Linked DNA regions of Drosophila melanogaster. The protein of the gene in region 2 interacts with the protein of the main gene of each other region in a pairwise test. Each region holds a gene or a part of one and is shown on either strand. Other genes may lie near its edges.

Region 1 (7,226 bases), on a different chromosome or scaffold from region 2:
TGACAGCGATAGAGACACCCAGCACAGGATGCGCAATCCTTTGGACGACATTGCTGCAGGCCGCAATGTTGCTGTTCTTCCTGTCGTGCAGCAACAGCAGGACCTGGCTGATACTGCTGCCCCTTTGGTCGCTTCTACAGGGATTTCGGAGCAGGATCGCCTCGCCACGAGCACTTGCCTATCACGCCTATCTTCCAAAGTCAGTCAGGACTCTACGAAACAACAACGAAAGCTCTATCAACACGGCGAAGCCACAAAGGACTACGCTGCTGCGGCTTCAACGACTCCGGCAGTCGGCATCCTTACGGATATGCAAAAGTTTGCACGCTCTATATTTCCGCTGGTTATCATCTTCAATCTGCTGCCTTTATTCTATGCAGGTGAGTACTTTTTATTTACTAGATTCGTTGCAAAGTATTTAACAAGTACATGATGTACCTCATGTTTAATTGTTAAAAATATGGGTTTACTATTAACAGCTGAAGAAGTTTTTCGTCTTCATGAATTTTATGAATTTATTTGAATCCGGACTTATAGTATCTAAATGTAGCCACATCAAACTTTAATGGTTTAGCATGGCACTTTTCCCTTTAAACTTCTGTGAAAGTTGCTGCTGCCCTCCATAGTCCTGCTAAAAAATGTGTAACTCTCAACCAACTCATGTAAAACAATTTTCCTACGTCCTAATTGGCAAGTCTCGAGTGTCCACTAGCTGGCTTTTAGCCTGCCAGTTTTAAAGACCCCACTGAGTGCTCACTGTAGTCGTCGGCTGGGCTGGTAAATAAATAATTGAAACTGTCGAAGAACATTTGCAAATCTGGCCAAACAACAACTGAGCTCATTATTTATGTACGCAGCCAAATATGTATCGACTGCCAAAGGCAATGGAAAAAAATTTAATGACCGGCAAAAGTGAGCGTCCCCCGGCAGGAAGGAAGCAATCCGCTCCGGCACCCCAGTCCCTGCCCCTTTCGGATCTGAGTTATCTCTTTTTCATTTTCGGTTTTTCAAACTCTTTGTGTGACAGTTTTTATATATATATATTTATTTTTTTCTACATTTGAGGGGCTGGTCATTTTTCAGAGCACGCACAAAGGCAAATTTATAACAAAGTTGGGGTCAAACGGGGCTGAGGCCGAGAAGACAATGCGCTAGGCGGTCTTAATTGCTTCCCGGCCGCAAAAACAATAACAGCATATTTCTGGAAGAACCCTTTTCGAGGTCTTTGTTGCTGCCTTGGCAAACTTATTAATTAAACGCGCTCATAATTATTTAAGACCGGCTGCCGCCGGAGCAAATTCAATCTGTGATCATTGCCCCCGATAGGCAGAGCTGCAGTAATCAGAGTTAGAGGAGCAGAATCCCCCCCCTGCTCAGCTGCCTAATGTGGCAGAAGCGAAGGCAAACAAAAGCGGTGCCATTTCAAAAGAAATCAATGACAATTCGTTAAAGTTCCTCCCCGGGGTAACCGCTCTCCAATTTTCCAACCCATCCCACAGAACACTTCCCAGGACATCATCGACATTTGAGCAGCGATTAAAGACAATTGAAGCCGCAGATGCAGAGGCAGCATAAGTCTGCTGCTTTCTTATCAGTTGGCAGAGCTCTCTGGCTTTTCCACTCTCTCCATCGTTATCTCTCTCTTGTGGAAAAGCTCGCGCCTGCGCTGCCAGGCCAACGGTGTTATCATTTGCCAAGAGATTGGCGCTTATCAGTTGGCCAGTGAATGTTTGCTGGGTTATCCCGCCATTGTTTGGCCCAAATAAATCGCTGACTTGGCATGCCGGACGGAGCAGGGAAAGTCAAAGACGCCAGTGCCCCAGGCACAGGTCAAAGTATCTGCGATTCGATGCCTCGGACGAAGAGCAAGAAAAAAAAACAAAAGAACACACTGCCATTTATCTTGGGCGACGTTTTTGCCCTAATGAGATTTGCGCCAAATTAAATGAAATCGAAAATTAGGTGCGCCAAGCTCGTTGGCAATTTAAATTGAAGGCGGCAATTATCCGCACAAACGGCCAAGTCGGACCAAAACGGGAGGAGCATAATGAGCAGAAGCCGAAGTTAAACAAGATTCTCACCTGTCAGCTTTGGCACCACCTGATGGCCTGGCACCTGGAAACCTTCGGGTTTCACCTGAAATCTGCCACCTGCCAGCTGTCTCGAGTGGCGGCTTTGGTTTTGGCTTTGGATGGGCGATTAAAGCGCTCGTCGGCCACTCGAACAAACAGAATCGACGGCTCATTGAGCCGCAGCCAAATGAAATCCGGTGGCAAACAACTTGAAGGATCCACTCGAGAAGGAGGCGGAGGAGGAGGAGGCTGCGCCAAGGAGTCCTGGGGTCCTGAAGTAGAAAAAAGAAGTGCACAAAAACGAAATCATAGATTCAATTTGATTTATTTCGCTGCCGTACTATATTGGCGTTGGACTAACAGCCGTCTCTCGATTCAAATGGCAGAGCTTTCACTTGATGTCATCGCGGCGTGCTCTCTCGCTTTTCCTCCGAATTTTCCTCGCATTTTCCGACTTCACTCTCTGCCTTAAATGCCGTGGCAGCAGCCGAGCGTAGTCAGTCGATTTCAGTCGGCCGTGCGGCACACACACTCGCAACGCGCTTTTCAGCCAGCTCAATTCAGCTCCGGATTCCGCTTGCCACCAGCTTTTGAACGCGTCATTAATCGCATCGTGTGACAGGAGCCTCGAATCAGTTTTCCCAGCAACGCGCGCACTTTTCCCGCTTTTGACCACCGATTAAGGTCTCTTGTTCTTTCCGCCTTATCGCTTCGTCCTGTGCGTTTGCATTTTAATGTTTGCTTAAGCATTCCGTTTCGGTGTCAAAATCCAAAATCCAAAATCCGGCCAAACCAATCCCGGCGATAAGAAAAACCCTGGCCTGGCAAACGGAGAGCTCAACGCGGAATTGTTCGACACAAAAGTGAATTACAAATCAATTGAGAAAGCCCTCGGCAGCGAGACGTAAATATTCAAATGGAAACCGAATTACATATTCTTTTGAAATTGCCTTGGCTATGGTGCACAATTGAGATATTCGGCATTTATAAGATTGTGGAGTGGGCTATTTATGGTGATCAATCGGGGCAAAAGGCTGGGAGGTATTTTGCAGAATCACTTGGTAGGATTAAAGACATTTAAACATCATACTCGCTTAAAATTAAACAATGATGTTTGAAAGTCAGCAAAACCACTGCAATATTTAAGTTATGCCTCTTTTGTGCGCGTATACAATTTTAAATGCAAATGTTTTTTGGCAAACAATTCCAAATAAGAATACCTTAATCATTTATCACGAATGAAATTATTAAATGGAATTCACTTGTATAACAACTAAAATGAAAGTCACTCCGTGCTGTGTATTGAATTATTTATTGCCACACTTACAATGCTGCATTTCCATTTAATATCAACCTATGACACCTATTCCTTTGACCAAACGAGAATGGCCATGTAAATTGATTCTTGGAATCGGTCCACATGCCCATACGATTCACCAAAAAAAAAAAAAAAAATGCTCATTTCAGCAAAATTGGGTTTTATTTGCATTGAGCGAATGTTCCTTCGGATGAGTTCACGTTCAAGCTAACTCGCCATTTTCAAAAGCAAACATACAAATGCGTTATTAGTTCACATGCACAATGGCCATACATTCCTAATCGGTAACCCTGGCTGCTTTTTCTTGGAACGTCCTTAAACAGGAGAGGGCAATCTGGGCAACGAAAGGTTACAAAACGAACTGGAGGCAGACAATTGTTGGGGGATTTACAACATGGCCCTCGTATTGTTTGCAATGCAGCAATAAGTCTGGATAAATGCGGAAAAGACAGAAGAAAAAGGGACGATGGTGATGGCGATGGAAATGTGTCCACGGCAGTTATGACAACTTCTGCTGGGTCTCACCTGTTTCACCTGTTCGCCAGCTGCTTAATTGGAGTCACAGCCAAAGTCCGGGCGAACTTTCCGATTTCCGTTCCTGCAACGCGTGCCACTGACAAGTGACAGCTTCGATTTGAGGCAGGAGTAAACGCATTGCTCATCTTCCAATTCATTTTTTAGATCTGAATATACTCTTGTTTGATCCGAAAAAAAAGGGAAATGATCTGCGAAATAAAATTGTAGTTTTACTAGCAGAAGACGTGTTTTTCCGTTTACACTTTCAGCAAAAGATTAATTGAATTGAATGCAATATTTTTCAAGAGATTTATACTTTGATTTTCAACGAAACGATTTTGTTTAAAAATCGTTATTTTCGTTCACGCTTATTATAAACATGCTAATAACGGCAACCAATTATTCTAACCAATACTCAATATATTTGTAAACATTTTGTAAATTACTTTCCTTTTTAAATTCCGCTCACGTTTCACTATAAGCGATGGTTTATAGTCAGCCTGCCTACCTGAAATTGCAGCTTATTTAATAATTACTCACGAAAATCATTTTCGTAATTGACTATTTCTCACTCCGATGTCTATCCATACAGTCGATCATCAGATGAAAGTGCTTTCCCAGTTTCTTTGCCATATGCAAAGTAGTAAACGTACAAAAAAAAAGTGGGATTCAGTTGCAATTTGCATGCAGTTCGGCAATCGCTGCGAAATTGAAACGTGCCAAATGTGCAAACAGAGGGCCGCAATCGTTTTCCACCTTGTTTGGATAGCCAACCAGGTGATAAGCAAACATAACCCAAAGGGACTCCCGTGAAAAGTCGACTTGCGGGGTTGGCTGGGTTTTAAACTCAACCCTTTTTTCTTTTTCTTCGGCTAAGGTGGGCGGCACTGCCACTAAATCAGGCTACTTCCACCAGGTAATAGAGAGATACAATTTGCTACGTGTGGAAAATGCGAAGAAAGAAGAGACGAGTAACTTTGCAAATAATGTTACCCAGCCACTCGAATGTTTAGGAACCTTTACGCATAAATTATTTATTCATTTGCCGTCGCCGGGTTTTTATATGCATCGTTAAAATTTCTGTTTGGAATCTCAAAGTGAATTTTCGGGTCCGGAGCGAGCACCTTTGACCCGCCCCCCCCCAAAAAAAAAAAAACGGAAATAGGGTTTTTTACGTTGGCTATTTTATAATGAGCTGCACTGGATTCGCTTTCACAGTGCTAACCCGTTGCTCATATGGTTTTCCTTTGCGCCTTTGGTTCCTTGTTCAATTTTCACTTTTGCAAGCGATTTTCCCGACGGCTGCTCACGAGAAAAGCTACGTGCAAAACGGCTTTGAGTGGAGGGTGTGGTCTCCACTTTCGCAGCGAAAGTGTTTATTTATTTCAGTTTGTGTGCTAGAAATAAGTTTTATTTCCGTTTTTTTTACCATTCCGAACCAAAATTATAATAATAACCTGCGGCTGCGGGCCAACGTTGCGTATGAGCGATGTTTTTTCAAACCATATTCCCATTGAAAACGCCGACTCGAAACTAATTAGCGCCCTGTACGCCGAGTTCTTGTTGTTTTGAAGGCTTTCCGCAGCAGCATTGGCTTTTGCCAGTAGAAAGTAGCCAGCGTGTCCACGTCATGTGATATGAGCTGGGAAAATATTGTTAAAAATATGCTGCAACTTTTTCATTACATCAACTTGACGGCTGCGAAGTGAAAACTTTTTAGCAACCAGCAGGAGCAGGCGGAAAAGCGTGGAAAAAGGGGAAAGGCAAGCGGCTTTGCCAGCTGTGGATGCTGTTTCTTTAATTTGTATTTAGTTAGCGGACGATGCTAATGAGTTTGCTGATTAAAGAAGGGATCGTCTTTTGATGTGCCACCTCTGGAATGAAATTTGCACAAGGCTTACCAGCTTTAAGACCTTGTTAACTGGCGAAAAAACAAAAGACATAAATTATTTGGCATGCGATCAAAACCACACTCGCAACCTTTTAGCTGGCATCTCCTGCGTGAAAAAGCTAATACAAACTGGCTGAGCCAATCAATTACGAGTAGTTCCCAAAGTTCAAGTCATTCTCACTTAGCTACAGCCAGTCTATCAATCTTCTAATCAATCTGAACGGAGCAAATAGCCAGCTAAAGTTTCGTCCTTAGCATTATGAATTTATGGACCGTTGGGCAGTCGAGTGAAAACTATGCCGATTTCAATAAAAATCATTAACCGAGCGAGCACTCAAAGGCCGATTTCGATTGAGTTTCTGTGCGGGTGGGCAGAACTTTCCGACACATTAAATATGAATGAAATGCCACGGTAATTAAGCCTAAACACAGAAAGATAAACAAACCGCGAATGGTCGTAAAATGCGATGAGGTGGCGCCAATCGAAATGAACTTCTTTGACCAAACACATTTCCAATCGAATTATAAATAAACAGAGGCTGCCACAATGAAATAAGCGCCGACAGGAAGCCAATTCAAATAGCCCCAGTCAGCCACTGTTTTTCGCCAAATACCTTATTTCCAAATTCCAAATGGAATTGGCATATAGCGAAGGCCTTGGGCCTTATGGCTGATTAGCCAATTTGAATTTTCAATATTTCCCGGAATCTAAACTTCTGTTTGGTAAACGCGTAATATGCCAGCGTTGTTCTGCTTACAAATTCCCATTGTTTCCGCATCCGAAGAAAATGAATTCACTTAGCCAGAAAGATGTGGCTTAAGGCGAGAATTTCATTAATCTTTGTCGCGCGTTCCTTGGCATATTAAAATATCTCTTTTGTGATACGTGAATGCATAAAATGGCAGACAAACGAGAGTGAAGCATCTTTGTGTAAGCTTTAAAAATCTCCCCCATAAAAGCCAACGTGAAACATGCAACAAGCTGGGTCAGGAAGCGGGCCAAAAGAAGGCCACCACCACCCATCAGCTACTGTGTCGAGGCTATACCCACACACTTCCACTGACACACACACACACACACACACTAACAGGCACACATACACACGCCTGCATACGAGTATAAGCCCCATTCATGTGGGTTACAATGAGGGCCAGACGCTTGTCCAAGGAACTAAGACAAAGGATACACAGAAATCAAGTTTAACTGCAGTTGAAGGCGGAAACGTGAGCCTCACACGTACACTGAAAGAAACCGCAAGAAAACATTGCAAATATCATTATTACCTAACTTGTTTGCATACTTGCGAATAATTTTATCGAAATGCTAAAGAGCTTTGTTGGTAGTAAGGAAATTGTTCTAAAGGGTATATTTATATGGACTTTATTGAGCTCAAAATCATACATTTATTTCGCAATGATTTACACTATT
Region 2 (6,817 bases):
TCTTTAGCTTGAGTCGTGTCCTGCTTTCGCTTCCTTAATTTATGTGTTTATATTTAGTTAGGTGCTGTGGCCCCTTGTCACATGGCACTTGATCTACGCCCTTAGTATGTCAATATGCCTATATATACTGTGCAATATAGGACCCCAAGCACCCTAAAGGGGAGGAATGTGGTAAAAAGGTGATGGGTGCAGGGGTTGCCTGACTTGCATGCATTGTTTTCCTCGAATTTCCCACACGGACTTTGGCTGGGGAAAATGTCATTTCTTTGTTATCTTCACGCTGACGCACTTGACTTTCTTGGCTACAAGTTAATACTCTTTGTTGAAGGACATGTTATGATTTGCTGTACTATGCTTTGATATACCCAATATTTGTTTGAATCCGAAATATATATACATACATATATATAAATTGGTTATTTCTTTAAAATTTTTCCAATCTTATTAATGCTTTCTGCATTTGTTCAACATTTTTCGACGAATAGCGTATTTTCTGATTTTTCAAGATGGATAGACATAAGTGATTGGATTAAGAAAGCCAATTAAATTTGTCAAGAAATAAAAAATAAGAAAAATTGTAATTCGTTTTCGAACCTTTTTTAATTTTATTAGATGTGCATATATACTTTTAACCTTTATTAAAACCTATGCCAGTTGGAAAACTTTTATTTGATCCTTAAGATTTTGAAAAAGCTTTTTGATCCTTTGATTTCATTTAATTAAATTTTTTAGATTTAAAGCCTATACCAAATTCGATACTGTCATGACTTTTTTAAGGGTACTTTGTAGTGCCTTACCATTATTTCTTGAGCACTCGTTTCGAGGAGCTGCCTTTGAGTAGTATTTGATTGTTTCTTCGCAATTAGTTAGTTTGCTCACTTGTGGCCCTGCTAATAATAAAGTGTTGATATTTTTAGACCTTATAAGAGTGGTATTCCCGTTACTGCCGTTACTGCCTTTCCCCCACACCACCGCCTTTGCAGCCCCCTCCCACACCACTGTACGCACGCACTGTCTGTCCCGTTACCAATATACCGCTGTGTCTGTCTTTTTCGCTCACATGTGCTCATGTGGCCTTTTGATTTTCATGTTCAGTTTTCTCTTTGTCTTAATCAATATATTTTGTGGTCGGCTAGTAAAAAGTTGATGGGCTAAGTGGGCTTTTAGCCCCATCGACTGGTTAATAAACATTTTGCAAGTGCACTTACACAATTGAGCCGCCGTTGTTGTTGTTTGTTTGTTTGACGGTGGGCTTTCCTCCTTTAGCTGGCTTTTCCAATTTGTGTACTTTTTGCAGTATTTCTCATATTTGCACACTCGGTTTTAACTTGGCTTCGAATCAGTTATTCAATGCATTTCTTTCATTTTTGTATATTTAATTATTTTTTTTACACCAACACATACGCAAAGTCTCGCAGGGATGTATAAAAGTAACTGTTGTCCTTTGCCTTTTCACGTAACTTTTGCAACTGCGCCCAAAATGGAAATTTTGTACCAGACAGCTGGGCACCCGAAGGAGTAAGAGAGACGGATGTGAAGAGAGAGTCCTGCGAGAGCGAACAAGTCGCAGAGGGGCGAGCGTGATGTAAATGTATCTAATTACTTTCACCTCCTTAAGCATAAACTTGGTTCAATTTATGAAATCTTTTAAGTTACTTTCTGCTTGATAGTTATTCATAATTGTTATATTATAATGAATCTTCGCACATGCGGCATTTCTGCGCAAGTGCTTGAAGAGAGTGAACAAGGGAGAGAGCGGCAAGAACAAGAGAAATGGCAAACAAACAAAAGCCACAGACACAGCTGTCTTATCACAGGGCGGTTTTCTGCCACCCCCTTTTGACTGATAGCAAAGACAACCGTTACTTGTGGGTTGTGTCTTCGATAATTCAATTCTTATATTTTTATACATATTAAGCATTTATAACAAGAGAGAATGCTATAGTCGAGTTCCCCGATTATCAGATAACCGTTGCTCCGTTACTAAATTAATATATTATGTACATTTAAAACCGCAAACTGTTAGAAACTTGGAGGAAAAAGTATATAAGAATCTCGTATATCTCCGACATAATTATTGAATTTATTTCTTATTAATTCAATACAAGTATGCACCTATGTACGCATGTATAATTTATCATTCTATAAATCAATATCTGTTTTAATTAGCTGTAAGAATAAAAAGAATAAGTTCCTTCAAAAACTTTAATATGCAAAATAATAGTCTTTAAATACGGGGAATGCATAGTTTATTAGGTTGCCATTTGTTTACACTTCCTTTAAGATTAAGACCCAAGCTTTCTAGCATGGTATAAATAAATAATCTGTCACTTATCATTCTATTAATCAATTACACTTTAAATTACATTTTCATATAGTTTGGATACTAAACTACCCTCAGGTCCATCCTATATGATTCTCTCATATGTTGCATTTCCTAACTTTCCATTTAGATTAAAAGGCCTTCACGTTACTCGATTTGTGTCCCTGCCCTGAAAGGATTCCCCGTGGACGAAGCTAAACCTAATACGGGTTGGGTTCAAGCAGACATACAAACAATGCTTCTGAGAATACAGATCTTATTAAAAATATACAAGTATATAAACTATAATTTTCCAATTGTCTTAGCCTAGCCTATGCACGGATGCATAATCCAAGTTTTGTTGATCCTCTAAGCGGAGCTAAAGCTTTCGTAGACGTTGGCCCCCAGCGTCTTTGTCTTCTCGGCGACCACGTAGAAGGTTAGCAGTTGGGTGGGCAGATTGTGGGGTCGCGAAGTGGTATCGAAGCCTCTCGAGGTGAGACCACTGATGATAGGAATGAGCTTTGCCAACGCCAACAGCACTCGGTTGATGTTCAGCAAGTTATTGTTCTCCAGACCGTTTTGGCTCTTCGAGGTGCTGGCGCCTAAGCTTCCTGCCTGGTTAAACTTGACGCTCTGTTCTTGCTGCGTTTGGACTTTAGCTTGTGGCAGATGCTGCAAAGTTTCGCCCATGCTTTCGGCGATGGCATCGCAGGCCAGCACAAAACCACGGCTTACATTGTGCGAGCACACGCCAACGGCATCCTCGCTCTCCAACAGATCCAGCGTCTCGTTGACCATCTTTTGCAGCAGCGGCGAATGACTGGGATTCTGGCTGGGCAGCAGATACTTGCTCATTCGCGAGTTGGGATCCCGACGAGTGTCCGCATTGATGGCCATTTGCAGTGACCAAAACAGTTGCTCCAGGTCGCTAAGGGAAAGCTGTTCGGAGAGCGGTATGGTCTTGGTGACTGCGATGACCTGGGTGCGAATGTAACGGGCTAAGTCCCGGATGCCCGAATCCGTGATAAAGTGTCGGATGAGGGAGAGATACTGCTGCTTTAGCTCGTCGGTGACTTGTTTTTGTTCCGTCATGATGTCCCGATAGATGTAGCCACCGAGAAGATTTAGCTGGACCCTCAACGCAATAACCAGCATGGAGGAGGCGTAGACATAGGTTGCCAGTCTTGTGAATGCCACAATTTTCATGTCCTCCCAAAGTTCCAACTTGTTCTTGGGATTCTGGCGCAGCTGCTCGAGCAGCTCGTCCGTGCTGCACTCCCTCAGAACCGCTTGGCACATCTCCTCGCCCATGCCTAGGATCACCTGGTTACACGTCTTCTCCGTCGACTCAAAGTGGGTCGTGCGCCGCGTTCTCTCGAAGAATTCCCTGGCCTGTTTCTCCTGGAACTCCACGAATCGCCGTTGTGCATAACGTGCCGCAAAGATGGTACCGCCCACCAGAACGCCGGTCACTATGAACTTTCGCCGGTGGCGTGACAAGAAGTCCTGCAGGCGCGACAGCATGTTAACGATTGGAAAAGGCCTCTTCTGCCGGATGGACAACTAGAATCCGCTTCCTGTGTGAAATAGGCCAACTGCTGTTCAGATATCCCACTTTTTCCCGCTCCACCGGCGACCTGTTCGAGGTTAATAAATAGTTAATGTGCAAAGTTCACCTGTGTGCGTAGGGTGGTGCGCTGCCGGCGTCGCTGCCAACAGAGGAGCGTCCTCCACTCATCCGCAGCGATTAGATTACCAGGTAGTGCTCACCTATATACCCCTGCTCGGAAACTCGGATCTGGTGCGCCGCCTTATCGGGTCGATTGCTGGCCTTTGGATCGGATCTAGCTCTGGAATGTATGGAATGGATTTATCCTTTGTTGTTGTCGCTAAATGTGTTATTTCTCTGTTTGGTGCCGCATACTGCGTCGTCTGTTTCCGTTCAAGAAAAATCCCAAAAGTGCGAGGTTCGGGAATACCGAAAAATACCATTTCGTTTAGTATATTTGGTGTTACTGTTTAAATTTTTATTGAAAATGGGGATGCTTTTTAGTTATTTATTTTTTCGTTATTTCGAAGTGGGTTCAAAAAAAAATAGAAAATATAAAATAATGTTAATTCACCTATAAATGACGAAAAATAAAAAACTTCGATATGCTCCAATTTCCACCGTTCCGCCATCGTCGCAAACATTTGAAACGCATGATTCAAAGGGTGAAGAAGAAGATAGAAATCATATGGTATTTAAGATAGTTCTGTTGTTGGTGGGGGGTTTAGTTTAGTTGGGGTGTTTGTTATGGCGTCGTCAGATCGAAAGCTCATTGTAGTCTCCGGATTTGGTCCATTTCTCGGTCACGAAGCGGTCAACGCCAGCTGGGAAGCTGTGAAACTGCTGCCGGAAATCCTAACTCACGATGGCATAGAATATGATCTGGAAAAGCGGTTGGTTTCGGTGGAATACGGGGCTGTGGACGAGGCGGTGGCGGAGATTTGGAAACGCCAGCCATATGTAAGCATCGCAATTGAACCATAAATAGATAGAGGCCTTATGATATCATCTTTCTCCCAAAAAAATAAAAAACAAAAAAAAAACAGCTTGTTATCCATGTCGGTGTTTCGGGCGTTGCCAAGTGTGTATACATCGAGAAGCTGGCGTACAATCACAAGTTCCGCCGAGCTGATAATTGTGATAAAAAACTGGCCAACGGCACTTGCGAACTACCCAACAATGGACATGCAAATGTCTTGAAGACCGAATTAGATGTGGATAAGATTGTGGCGGTTGTAAATGAGAATTGCGCCGATTGTGTGGGACCCACACAACAGCCGACACATAATGATAATCTCAAATCCCTGAGCGCCACAAAGGCATCCAAAAATGTGGGTGACTTTCTCTGCGGCTATATCTATCTGAAATCGCTCGATATGGACAGAAAACGAAGCCTGTTTGTCCATGTACCTCCTGTAGATAGGCCATTTAGTAGTGTTAAGACTTCGGAAATACTTTTTAGCATAGTCGAACAATGCATTCAACAGGTGGTCGCTTTTGACTCCTGAATTCCGCAAAATATTCTTCCAATATCTGTCTTTTTAAGAATTATTTACATGTGTGCTGTTAAGTTGTTTAAGAAATGAGTTTTATTCTTTTTAAGATACAATATTTTATATTTACTTTTTATTACAATGAAACAGAGAAGCAATACAACTGCATTAATAATTACACAGTCTTTTTTGCGTTTACACAACACCAGTCTTTATTTTAAAAAGGGTAAATGACATAAAGAGAATGACGTAAGTTATTTAAAATAAAATTTAATAAAAAAAATGAATTAAAAAGAAGAATTATAAGGCCTTTACAAATTGCCTTATGTTAAATACAAGTTAACTTATATACAATACAATACGATACTATTTATATCACAATATTTTAAAATTATGGTATTCGAAAAAACCGTAATATTTAAAAAAAAAATAGTACATTACTGAATTAGTTAAATATAAAAATAAAACTTCAAATATATAAACGAGATCCTAAACTAAAAAAATTTACCTTCGACGATTGCCAACCTTTGGGCACCCAAGCGCCACCTACAGTTCAATGCTCATTCATTGACAAATATCGATATTAGTAAAATTTATCGGAAACTTGTAGAGAAATACCAAAAATCCCTCACCTAATTCAGCTTTATATGTATATATCTCTGCGTTTCACTGTCACTTGAATTCATTTGAATTTCTACTTGCAACCGGGCAAGTTCAGCGCAGTTCGAATCCCAGTTTTGGTTGGCGAGTGTGCTGCACCCACATAGGGCAATAGATTCAATAAATATCAAACGACGACGAGTGCCCGCAATGAAATTCCTGATCTGTGCACTTTTCTTGGCGGCGTCCTACGTGGCCGCTTCCGCCGAGGCGGAGGTCAAAGTTGAGGAGGGTGTTCTGGTGGCGACGGTGGACAACTTCAAGCAGCTGATTGCCGACAACGAGTTCGTGCTGGTCGAGTTCTGTAAGTACATGCTTAGATCGAAAATAAGGCACGAAAATCTCAACAAAATGTGGCAAAAATCGAATATCAAAATGCGAAATGCGCCGGCCGCTAGCGCGCTCTCACTCGCACCCGCTGATTCATGCGGCTTAGCGGCTACGTGGTCTTTCAAAGCGTCGGAGAAAATCTGTCTGCGTGGCAGTTGTTGTTGACTTGAAATCTGGACTATCATGTTGCACGGCAAATCCTAGTTGATCAATGGGCCAACTGACAGACTAGTTCCAATCGGCGGCCTGGAAAATTTGTTTAGTTGATTTTCCAGCAAATTTATCGTTTGTTTAACTGTTTTTATCTCTCTCGCGTCATCTTGTGTTTTTTTTGTGACGGGCAGGGAGGAGCGCGCTCTCTCAAACGCAAGTGCCATCTCTTTTCCGCACCTGTGCACGCAAGCGAGAAGGCCTTATAGCCTTATACTGCAGTACTACTTGTTATTGTTGTCGCCATAAACCTGCTATAATTTTGTATTC
Region 3 (5,425 bases), on a different chromosome or scaffold from region 2:
ACCTCTGGGCACGCCAGCTTACCCTCGAGAGTCGGTTCACCGCATCATCGTCGAAATGAGCCACAGAATTCCAGTTTCCGGTCGACCATTTCTGGCGGTCCACCATCGCTGGCTGCCTTAACCCTGCACCCTGGCGGCGGTGGAGGAGTAGGACCTTCCAGCCTTGGGTCACAATATAACCAGCACATAGAGGCGCAAGTTAGATTTAAGTACTCGGGCGGAGATGCTTTGACGGCGGGCTACTGTCGCCAATGTGCGGTGTCCTTTAATCTAGAACTTTTGCCTAGCGTACAGATTACAAGCTGGGATGTGCTTCCCGCAGAGGTGTAAGTGCAATCTTCTCGTTTTTCAAAGTAACTCCTTCTAACATTGTATATCAAATTTACAGAGCCTCCCAATTTTACCTGGTACTTGACATCTCCAACCTAACCGCTCAAGAGATGTCGCTCAACTATACGGACACCAAGAATATACTCATCGAGGCCAAAGAGAGCTGCCGAGTGCCCATACCCGTGGATCGGTGCTCCTTGGAGAAAGTGGTGGCTGCTCGGGCGGCCGAGGTAGCTGAGAATCTGGAGAGGGGTATGATGAATCCCGCTTAATATGAGCTCATTCACTATTTGTGCTTATCTTTTTACTAGAACTCTGCTTCCGGACGCAGCTGCTGTCGTTTAACGATGCTCTGAGTAAGCTCTGCTCAATTCATATAGCTGAAAGGGTGAAAATCAAGTGGCTGTTAACGGGGACGGACATTCAGGGAATCGCCTCACTGCGAGGAATAGTTCTCTCCCAGTCTATGGTGGATTTGACAGCTGTGTCGCCTTTGGAGTGGGGTGTGTTTGTTTAGAATCTTCCTTACCGACTTTGTAATGACAATTGTATTACACCTTTAGCTATCAGCTTTCAAGACACGCTCGTGCAGCCACACAATGAGATTGTATGCACGGTGGGACAGCGGTCGCTGCTAAGCATCCAGCTGGCCAATCAATCCCTGCAACCACTTAGAAATCTGGTGCTGAGCATTAAGTTCTATCAGGATTACCTGAACGGAATGGAAAATTACAATTTGGAGACACGCGTGGCCATTTCAGGACCAAATAGGTGAGAGCTGAAGAAAAATATTGAAACGAAGCAGTTAAATATTTAGACAATATCAACCCTCTTAGAATTGCAATACCACTACTGGAGAAGCAGGAGCAGAAAGAGCATACTTGCTCTGTGATATTCTTTACCCCCGGACGTTTCAAGGCCAGCATCGAATGCACCAGCAATCCGCAGAAGCAGTCGGAGCAGCCGTCGTCATTGCTAACCCGCTCCTGTCCGGCAGAAGCGGAGAGTGTCGGCCAATCGGTCATGTTCTCCTCCAGCTACGATGAGCAGCAGGCGCATGTGTGGAAGTTCATTCCGCCCATCGAGGTGACCGTCGTGGAGCAGTGAAATGTTACCTGTCGCTAGTTTAATTTCGTTACAATGTTTGTGTATGTATTGTGTATACACCCCATACTAATCCCCTACTCTTGTTAAAGTATTTGATTCCCACGCGCCCTGTTATATCCGTAAACACGAAAAGCAATTGTTTGTAAAGAATTCTTACCTACATAGATACAACATGTAACGCATAACACTGTATATAATTAAGCTGAAACACAAAGTTATACTGTGCCCCAAGCTTGATAGAGAAAATGGCCATAACATAAATCATATAACCTATAGTTCATGCCTGTAAAACATATACATATTTAAGCAAGCGATGCGCTATTTAAATAGATAGCCAATGTTCCGCGCACTAGAAGCCACGCCAAGCATTATACATTTTGATAACGAAGCTCGTGTTTAAAAAATATTTTTATACAATTACCGGGGCAATACACATGTATCATAATGAACTACATATTAAGATTGTTGCTAAAGAAATTATGCCAATGAAATGTGTGAATAACTGTAGTGTAAAAGCAATAAACTCTATTTGACGAAACATTTGGTGTCTTTGGTTTCTCCTTTTCAGCCGAGTCTTCGTATCTCGTCCATGGTGAATCCGTTGCGGTTGAGCATTATGCAGAAGAGCACGTACACATAGTAGCTTCCCGGGATGAAGGTCAGTGCCCCGATGATACCCAACGCCCACACCCGATCCGATCGCTCCCGGCTCGTGTCCGTCACCCAGTTTAAGGTGGCAAAGGCGATGCAAACCTGAAGACAAAGACATCAGATCAGAAGTTCGAAGGAACTGTGCATGTATGTGTGGGCACCAGTAATCACTACTCACAATGCCACCGATAAACAGCAAAAGAATGATAATAATGGTCTTCCAAGGCACTGGACCTGGCATCGCCGGTTCCGTCCACTGTTCATTAACGAATCCATCGGTCTCGCATTGGGACTCCACCACCTTGATGTACTCTCCGGAGCCTGCTGGCGCGGAACTCCTGCCCCCTCCATTTAGGCGGTGCCGCGACTCCGAATTGGTGGGCTCCATATGTGGTCTCTACCTACTGGCAGTTGATCTTGACCAGATGCCAATTTCAGACTAAACAAACAAGCATTTTGCGGCAAGTCAATGTTATCAGGAAAACAGCTGACGAGACTGCCAACCTGGGGAAAATCAGCAAGCACAGTAGAGACCAAATAAAACGAAACATACACATATCGCATAATAACACATCCTTAAATATTTAACTTTTTAATTTGGAAAGCTTTCTTGCATGCCTGAACTAATCAAATGAATTCGAATTTTTAATTTTTCATCGCACCGGTAATTTGGAAAACACAGAGAATGCATAAAATTATTTAGCCATCCTTGATGGTTGTTTCTGAGCACCAATCTGCCACACGTTCGTTGTCGGGATCCAGATCAAATCCGTCGTGGTCCAGCTGGCTGGGAACAAATCCGGAGATCCAGGTCCACTTCATTCGCCTGCCCAAGAACGTCTTGAAGTTTCGGCGCAGTTTTCGGTCAAAAGGAATGTTTTGAAGTTCAAAATCATAGCAAAAATAGCCACGAGACCACTGATCATAAGCCACATAGGTAGCTACGCATACCCCGATCCACAGCAGGACGAATACCAGAGTGAACACCAGCTCGTATATATCGGGCAACTTAAAGTAGATTATCCTGATAATAAGCGAGTTAAAATAGGCAGAGTTCGGTGCGGGATGTGTCAGCATAAAGAGCTGGTATCTGCCCCCATGCAGAACGTAAATAAATATCGAAGATGACGTTAGTGAAATCATGCAGCTTAGAAAAAAGTAGATAAGAAAATAGAAAAAGTATCTATAGTTCTCATGACCGATGCAGCAACCAGTAAAGAAGCAGTGATGATCTCGCATCAGGACACAGACGCCACACTTCCTGCAGTGACGTGACCGGGGTGGAGCAAGAATCCCGCACTTGTCGCACTCGTGCCAGTCCTCACTGTGCTGTCCGCGCACCAACTGATTCTTCATAAGCTTGGGATCGATGCTGGGGTCCACCAGGATGCACATGACATAGTTGGACATCACATTCGAAAAGAGGAACAGTCCCAGCAGCAGCTGAAATACGTAACCAGGTGACCAATAATCCGACAACTCCGGCAGAATTATCTCCATTAGAACATAGTATATGGCGGGCAAGCCACATAAAATGAACAAAAATAGGAATTGCTCCAACTTCTCTTTTGGCCATATGTTCTTCAGCGACCGAAACCTCATTATAACGAAAGTGATTTGATCAATTTGTAAAAACTTTACTGCAGATTGCAAAACTGGTTTGGAAAAAGTATTGGTGTGACTTTGAATTAGTTATTCCAGCCTACACGATGTATCAATATTTTTTCTCCCTTTTCCCAACCGTCTCTCAAAAATATTTAAAAAATAAAACTATGGCAAGCTGCATTCTGTTTCTATAAATATAATTTTATTAGATTTTTTACGTCCACTTTTCTGGCATCATGCAAGGGAGCCCTGTAAAATAAATAAAAATTATGCATAAGTATTTAATCATTATTCAGGGGTTACTCTAAATATATATTTTTACAGACAGTTCTAAAGATTTCCTAAAAAAAATATGTGCAAAATTATTTTTCTTTACTTTTGTTTACGGATCATTTTCATAGATTTAATAAATACAAACAAAATTCATGTTGTTTTAAAGAATACCCTTAGTTTCGTTTTTGTATTTGGTATTTTGTTTCCTAGACAATAGCTTAAGACTTGGCCTCAAATACTCCCATATTTATATATACGTACACATAACACTTTAAACTTACAAGTGTGGAAATCCTTCTTACGTAGGGTTTCTGTCAGAGAAATTCGGGTTTCAGCATTATCTAAAAAGAAAGAGTTATTGTAGTGTTGTTGAACATAAAATCACGCAAGCTAACAATATTTTAAAAATCAGATCTACTATCGAGATAAATCAGTCACAGATATCAGACGTCCCTATCTAACGATTTCATCACAAAAAAAAATCATAAATCTTTAGCAATCATTATACTTACAAGTGTGGAAATCATTCTTTCGTCGGTTTTCAGTCAGAAACATCAGTTTTTCTGCATTATCTAAAAAGAAAGAGTTATTGTAGTGTTGTTGAACATAAAATCACGCAAGCTAACAGTATTTTTAAAATCAGATCTACTATCGAGATAAATCAGTCACAGATATCAGACGTCCCTATCTAACGATTTCATCACAAAAAAAAAAAAATCATAAATCTTTAGCAATCATTATACTTACAAGTGTGGAAACCATTCTTTCGTCGGTTTTCAGTCAGAAACATCAGTTTTCTGCATTATATAAAAAGAACGAGTTATTTTAGTGCTGTTGAACATGAAAGCACGTAGGCTAGCAACATTTTTAAAATCAGATCTACTATCGAGATGAATCAGTCACAGTAATCAGTTGTCCCCATCTAACGATTTCATCATGGTTGTGGAGATCTTCTTTCTGTATTATTCTTACCGCGTAAACTTCCCATGCTGGTTGGTCCCAAGAAGTCTCAAAGTGAGACTCTTTGGGTCACAGCTGCCAGGCTGTCAAAGTGAATTGCTCGTTTCTCGTGATCCGCACATCTTTTAGTTACCATATAACTTTCAGCTATTTGACATATCTTTCTCTATTGTATTAAGCAAAATTTTGTTGCGTTTTCTATTAGCCATCGTGCTAATTTAGTTTATTTTTCTTGGAATGGGCAACACGTGGTGCGGCTTTCGGCTGGCATTAAACTGTGACTGCTTCTTCACCACCGTGACAAGAAAGAAGTGACGAACAAGAAAATACTGGAATGGAAATATTCTGTATTTTTTGGTGATTTTTGAGTGGCGCCCCGTTTTTAAGATTTTTTTGAACCTTGCGACGTTTTTTTTTTTAGGTTTTTATTATATAAATAGATATTGCGATTCGGACTCTGCTACGGACACATAACTTGCTTAAAACATGTACAACTTTC
Region 4 (5,559 bases), on a different chromosome or scaffold from region 2:
TACGGATCGAGTGCGTATATATATATATATATATATATATATATATATATATATATATATGTATATATATAGGGCGATATGTATGGTACATACATACATAACGAAAGATGTCGGTGGCGTTGGCGTCGACCCGCACCGTTGACCGTTTCTTTTTGAACACATTGGCTGGCGCATTCATTAAAGATACATGTGGCGGCAAGTAGGCATATTCAATTTACGCTCATTTGGATTTTGGTATCATAACATGCTCTGAGTATTAACTTTAACTTTTGGGATTGCAATTTGAGGACATTCCAATTCTACTGCTCATTTCTGGCTAGCATCTTTGGTACACTGTTTACAAAAAAAAAAAAACTTTATCTTCGAGGGTATGTCTGGTGCGTATCTCTGGGCCATTTCATTTTGTGGCCTCTGTGTTCCATTTCGCATTCATTAGCTGTATTTCGCATTCGCACTCTTTCCGTCTCTCCAATGTCCGCATTCATTTTGCATGCATCGTTTTTTTTTTTTTTTTTGTTTTTGCTTAACGTATTTTTGCCTTTTTCTTTTCTTTTTTTTTTTTTAATAAACACGCCAATACAACTACGCAAAAGCTGCCGGCAAAAATAAAATGAGAAAAATAAGAGGAGACATTCGCCAATGCCGGCCGGCTTTTTTAACCGACTGAGTCACTCGCTCTGCAGGTTTTTGAACTTGCGCAGTCACATTCGGTGTACAATATTCGTCTCGATGCAATAATATTCTTGGCTTCTATGTTCTTATTGAATTTGTGCGAATTTTGTGATTGGTTTTTTTTGTTGCATTTTTGTAAAAATGGATGTCTGTTGAATACAGCTAGTCCCTTGAAATGCAAATGACGACATGATTAGCGCCAAAGGGGGGGTATATAACCGATCTCCGATCTCCGAACGCTCAGAGCCATCATAAAAACCTGGCAACGGGGTCCCGCAACTGGCAATTAATTAAAATGCATAAATTATTAACCATTCGCCGAGTTCGCAGCTCTTTTCCGCTGTTTTTTGTTGTTTGGTTTTAATGGCCCCGGTATTTTAGCATTTAGCCTACGAGATTGACGCGTCCCGGCTCCCAAAAGTAGGCCACATTTATTTGGTCATGTCCTTGACTCGCTCCCGGAAATACAGACATATGTATTTCCCGGTTCTTATCAACTGGTTGGGATATTATTTTAAATGAATTTTTGATTTTTGCTGGAAGAACAAAATCCATTTATGATCATGCATCTTGGTATTTAAGTGTATATATTAAGAGCACGTCCATCTTAACTCAAGCCTTGTTTTTTCATTTTTTTTTTTTTGGTTTTGAATGGGGATCAGCTCATTTGGCTCATTTGGCGCTCGCCGCTGACGTTGTAAATTGAAGCTAAAATGTTATCCACAGCTGGATCTCTCTGGATCTTTGGATGATGGAGATCGTGTGCTGGCGCTGGCGACAAAAAGGGGCAGACAAAAGAGAGATGTAGACACTTAAGTTTTTTGGTCGTGCTGCGAATGTGACAAAACAATTAATGTTTATTTTTGCATTTTAATTTGCCAACATTAATTGCAAGTTTATTGAGCTGAAAGCCAACGAACCTAACCGCTGGCCTTGAATGCGGATAGGTTATATTCTGGGAGGTCTATTGGTCTTCATTTCGCCGAAAGGGTCATCGTCATCAGTAGGACAAACATGGAGTGGGCCAGTAGGGTGAATTCGGCACCTAATCCCTTCCAGTAGTAGTCGAGAAAAGCGGAACCGTATCGAGCACCAAAAGCGATGGCAGCCAAGATGCCGTACATATTATTCGACTCGTTGACGCCCAAAAAGAGCATGGACACAACGTTGCCCAACAGTGTTAGTTCCTTAAGGGTCTCCGTTACGGTATCCTCGGTGTCAACCACTTTGGCCAACATATCGTAGACTAATGGCACCACAAAACATGTGTGCGCCAAAGCCAAGCCCGGATTGGTGGACTTCAGATACAGCTCCATATTGGTCAGGGGCAGCGGTACTATCTCCATGATGCCCGACGTAATCAATCGCACCCGATTGCATTCGTCATCGTCGTTGCTCGCCGCTCGCACCATTCCCAAAATTCCATGGACCAGGCTCAAGGCCGCTGTTGCATAGCCATAGGGTGTTTCCATTGGATGGAGAGTGTAGATCGCATAGCCGGAACTGACCACCAATAGGCTGTTAAACAATGCGTCCATGACCAGCATAACTAGTTTTCAATTCAATTAGTGCGTTCAAATCTGTTACTCTTCAACTGACCCTTCTGACATAGTTTGTCCCCTCTGATTTTCGATTTTCGATTTTCGAGAGCGACGAAACGAACGAAAAATTTTGAGCTAGTCAACTCGCTTTTAGCCCATTTGACAGAAGTGGCAAAGCTAACCTAACAGCCTGCTAAAAACTTAAGAATCAGCTTGAAGTCATAAGCTATAATGGCTAGATCGCCTAAGATGTCAGTATGATAAGTACATACATAAATATATGGTCTAGTCGGAGCTCTTGCTCGCTCGTCTTCAATGGGCTCGCTGGGATGCGATGAACCAGACCGGTCAACTTCTCATCTGGCTGAGCACAGAGCAGCGAGCACCTAGCCCAATGTCCCCGTTGATTTATGGCATCAAGGGTGGGCAGCTTAATCCGCTCGCATCCACCTGCAATCCACCTGCCGGCGGCAGATGGCTCAAAGTCTCGTGACTCCGGGCCCAAAGTCCAAAGACTTAGGGCCCCAGACGATTGAAAACGGACCGGGGACCACAACCACAAGCTCGCTTTAATTATTAATTTAAATCGCACCGTTTATATGATAAAGACACTGGGACGTGCCGTTGAGCATTAGTGCATGTTGCAAGTGAAGTGGCAAGTGCAACAGCCGAGCCAGGAGCGGATCAGGGGCCAAGTTGCAAGTTCTATCTGTAAAGAGCAATCATTTTGTTTGTTCAATTGCAATTATCAACTTTACTTGTTTTACTTCTATTCTATTTCTATTGATTTGATCATAAAATTCTCACAATCATAACGCTTGAGAATATAAAGTATATATAGTTTTGAAGATATCGGTAGCCCGATTCGCTGAACCGCTCCTCATTTCAACTACACTGAGTGGCGTGACGAAAGTTGTTGCTCGAGTGCCTCCCCCTTTGCAAAACTCGCCGCTGACCCCGGCTACGCCCCTTTTTGGGCCCCCACCTCTGTTCGCACAGACAATATATACATATATATATATATATACATATGACCAGTATGAAGTCTGCAGGCGAGCTCTGCAAGCGTAAAAATATAAAAAGTGCCGCAAGTGCAACAAGTGAAATATGAAAATACGAAAAAAAAAGCCAGAAGTGCAAGTGCAGGCAACTCGGCTCAGACACTCAATTCATAATTAATCAGGCTCTTTTTTCCACTTTCTGTGGCAAGCTTAACACTTCCCCTGGCCACACTGAGCAAAAAAAAAAAACAGTTACATTCGAGTAAAGTATGCAGTGTTGTATAGGGCCTTTTAAATCTGCTTTTTTGCCTTTTGACATTTTCCCTTCGTTACGAATACTGCTCAATGTTGGGAAATTAGAGTCCCGTTTTTTCTAGCAGTGCAGAGACAACCCTCGACCCTCGACGGACTTTCCTGACTGTACGTATGAATACTGCTCAATGTTGGGAAATTAGAGTCCCGTTTTTTCTAGCAGTGCAGAGACAACCCTCGACCCTCGACGGACTTTCCTGACTGTACGCCAAGGTTGAGCGAACATTCGTGATCCGGATCTGGCGGGGAATAGACCGTACCATAAGCAGGCCAGACCATCGCAAAGACGCTCTCCGCAGATTGCAGCTGGCTTTGAGCCCGACTTTTTGGGTTCCGTTCTGGGCCAGTTTACTTTTCACTTGCGGACTTTTTGTGGCTCGTGTGGCAGCCAAGGCGCAAAGGCCTATTGATTTATGGCCAACTCGGCGCCCCGGCTAATCAGCGGCATTTGCATGCAGATCGCAAGTGGATTTTTGGCCAAAATGTTTAATGAGGAACGCACCGAAGACAAAAAAGAAAAAAAAAAAACAGAAAAAAACCTGCGTGGCCAAATATTTTCCGGCTAACAAAACCATACAAAATTGAAACGGGCCAAACAAAAAATCGACAAATGCAAATGAATAGTGAAGTCGAGTAGTAAATACTCTTCTTTTTGTGTCATTATCATTACATAATAATGATCTAATTGCCTTAACAGTTGGGCAATATAATCTTCAACATTCACAAAGACTAGTGAAAATTCGTAGGTATAATTTGTAAATTGCCAAGAATTCTACGAGTTTGTAATCGTCGCAACACAGATACTCCTTTTAATTAGAGTATCTGCAAAGGAGACGCCTCGACCAAATTGATCGCGGCAGTCCACAAAAAAAAAAAAGTGCGTGAGCGATGCGCAAATATTTGGCCGGAGTTTTTGGAAGTGAAATAAATGAAATGAGTTGCGTTTGGGGCTCTCGAGCTGCTTGAAATGCGCGCCAGAAACCCTACGCACTTCATAAATTATTTAACAGCTGCCCTGGCCAATTTCTTGGGCGCTTTTCGAGTTGCTTCCATGTGGGTCTCGTTGATGGTTCAAGGGGGTTTGCGAGGTGCGGTGGCCAGCGGAAGGGGACCAATTTTAATTGCCGGCTACACGACAATGACAACACACCACCGCACGCACTTTTTGGAGGCCGATCATCGAGTCAGAAATCAGAAATCAAGACCCAAAAAAAAAAAAAAAAAATGTGAGCCGCAGCAGCGAATCAGAAATGTGCGAATTTTTGACAAGTGCAAACCGAAGTCGAGGCATGTACAACATGGCTTTGTACACGATTGTCGCCCCGCCTGATTTATGGCCAAGTGGCCCGGACAAGTTTCCAGATCTAAGCGATCCGTGATTCATATACAACATACAGATTGCCTCATTCGGGTGCTGGGATGGGATAATGGGTTTGCCAAGGGAAACACTTACGATAAATACAAAACACTTTTGCGGCCACCAAAAAAAAAAAAAAAAGAAAAAAAGAAGTGTGTCCAAAAAAGCTGAAGATCGACGCTATCAGATGGAATGAATAATTGTGTTAACAGGCTGGTGTAATAATAATGTGACAGGAAATGGTTAATTAATACGTACTAAATTGGCAATGGCAATTGAGTTGGTCATTGGAGCTTTTGGCATTAGTTGAATAATGAAATAGTTGTTCCAAATTGTAGAATGAAATGATTTATTATGAATATTGCAATGAATACAACCATTCCAACCAATTATTTTTTGATCGACTCAATTCATTTAAGTGTATCGTTCGGATTTCTTTCATGTTTGCAGTGATTAAGAATGTTTAATTGACAAAAAAAAAAAGAAAGAACTCTTTCATTTAAATGTCAAGTAGAGCCGGAATCATCCAATGCAAATAATAGAACTGGTTCAAACACACTTCCAAAAATTGTGTGCTTTTGATCGTAATTCATGCTACCTACCAAATATAGTTCTTCATTTCGAACGAGAAGAACATCGTTTCTTGTCAAATTAATCATTCGACTGCTGGAGTAGC

Evidence for each region.
Region 1: the proteins of Pex3 (region 2) and CG43732 interact in a two-hybrid assay, tested with the Drosophila melanogaster proteins (one large-scale study listed by BioGRID).
Region 3: the proteins of Pex3 (region 2) and CG2611 interact in a two-hybrid assay, tested with the Drosophila melanogaster proteins (one large-scale study listed by BioGRID).
Region 4: the proteins of Pex3 (region 2) and CG14269 interact in a two-hybrid assay, tested with the Drosophila melanogaster proteins (one large-scale study listed by BioGRID).

The regions. Positions count from the first base shown.
Region 1 is NT_033777.3:18,947,628-18,954,853, forward strand, and holds the start of CG43732 (uncharacterized protein), read left to right. Parts: upstream 1-2,568; 5' UTR 2,569-2,976; intron 2,977-7,226. Other genes in the region: CG42613 (uncharacterized protein), read left to right, coding at 1-380.
Region 2 is NT_037436.4:15,141,794-15,148,610, reverse strand, and holds Pex3 (peroxin 3), read right to left. Parts: upstream 4,257-6,817; 5' UTR 4,062-4,256; intron 3,943-4,061; 5' UTR 3,830-3,942; coding exon 2,672-3,829; 3' UTR 2,232-2,671; downstream 1-2,231. Other genes in the region: CG32147 (uncharacterized protein), read left to right, coding at 4,602-4,814, 4,901-5,362; Pdi (protein disulfide isomerase), read left to right, coding at 6,158-6,311.
Region 3 is NT_033779.5:20,647,302-20,652,726, reverse strand, and holds CG2611 (uncharacterized protein), read right to left. Parts: upstream 2,539-5,425; 5' UTR 2,477-2,538; coding exon 2,267-2,476; intron 2,191-2,266; coding exon 2,002-2,190; 3' UTR 1,829-2,001; downstream 1-1,828. Other genes in the region: brun (brunelleschi), read left to right, coding at 1-326, 389-582, 642-833, 894-1,101, 1,167-1,437; CG18810 (uncharacterized protein), read right to left, coding at 2,788-3,690.
Region 4 is NC_004354.4:3,433,442-3,439,000, forward strand, and holds CG14269 (uncharacterized protein), read right to left. Parts: upstream 2,367-5,559; 5' UTR 2,272-2,366; exon of another isoform or gene 2,222-2,271; 5' UTR 2,220-2,221; coding exon 1,647-2,219; 3' UTR 1,502-1,646; downstream 1-1,501.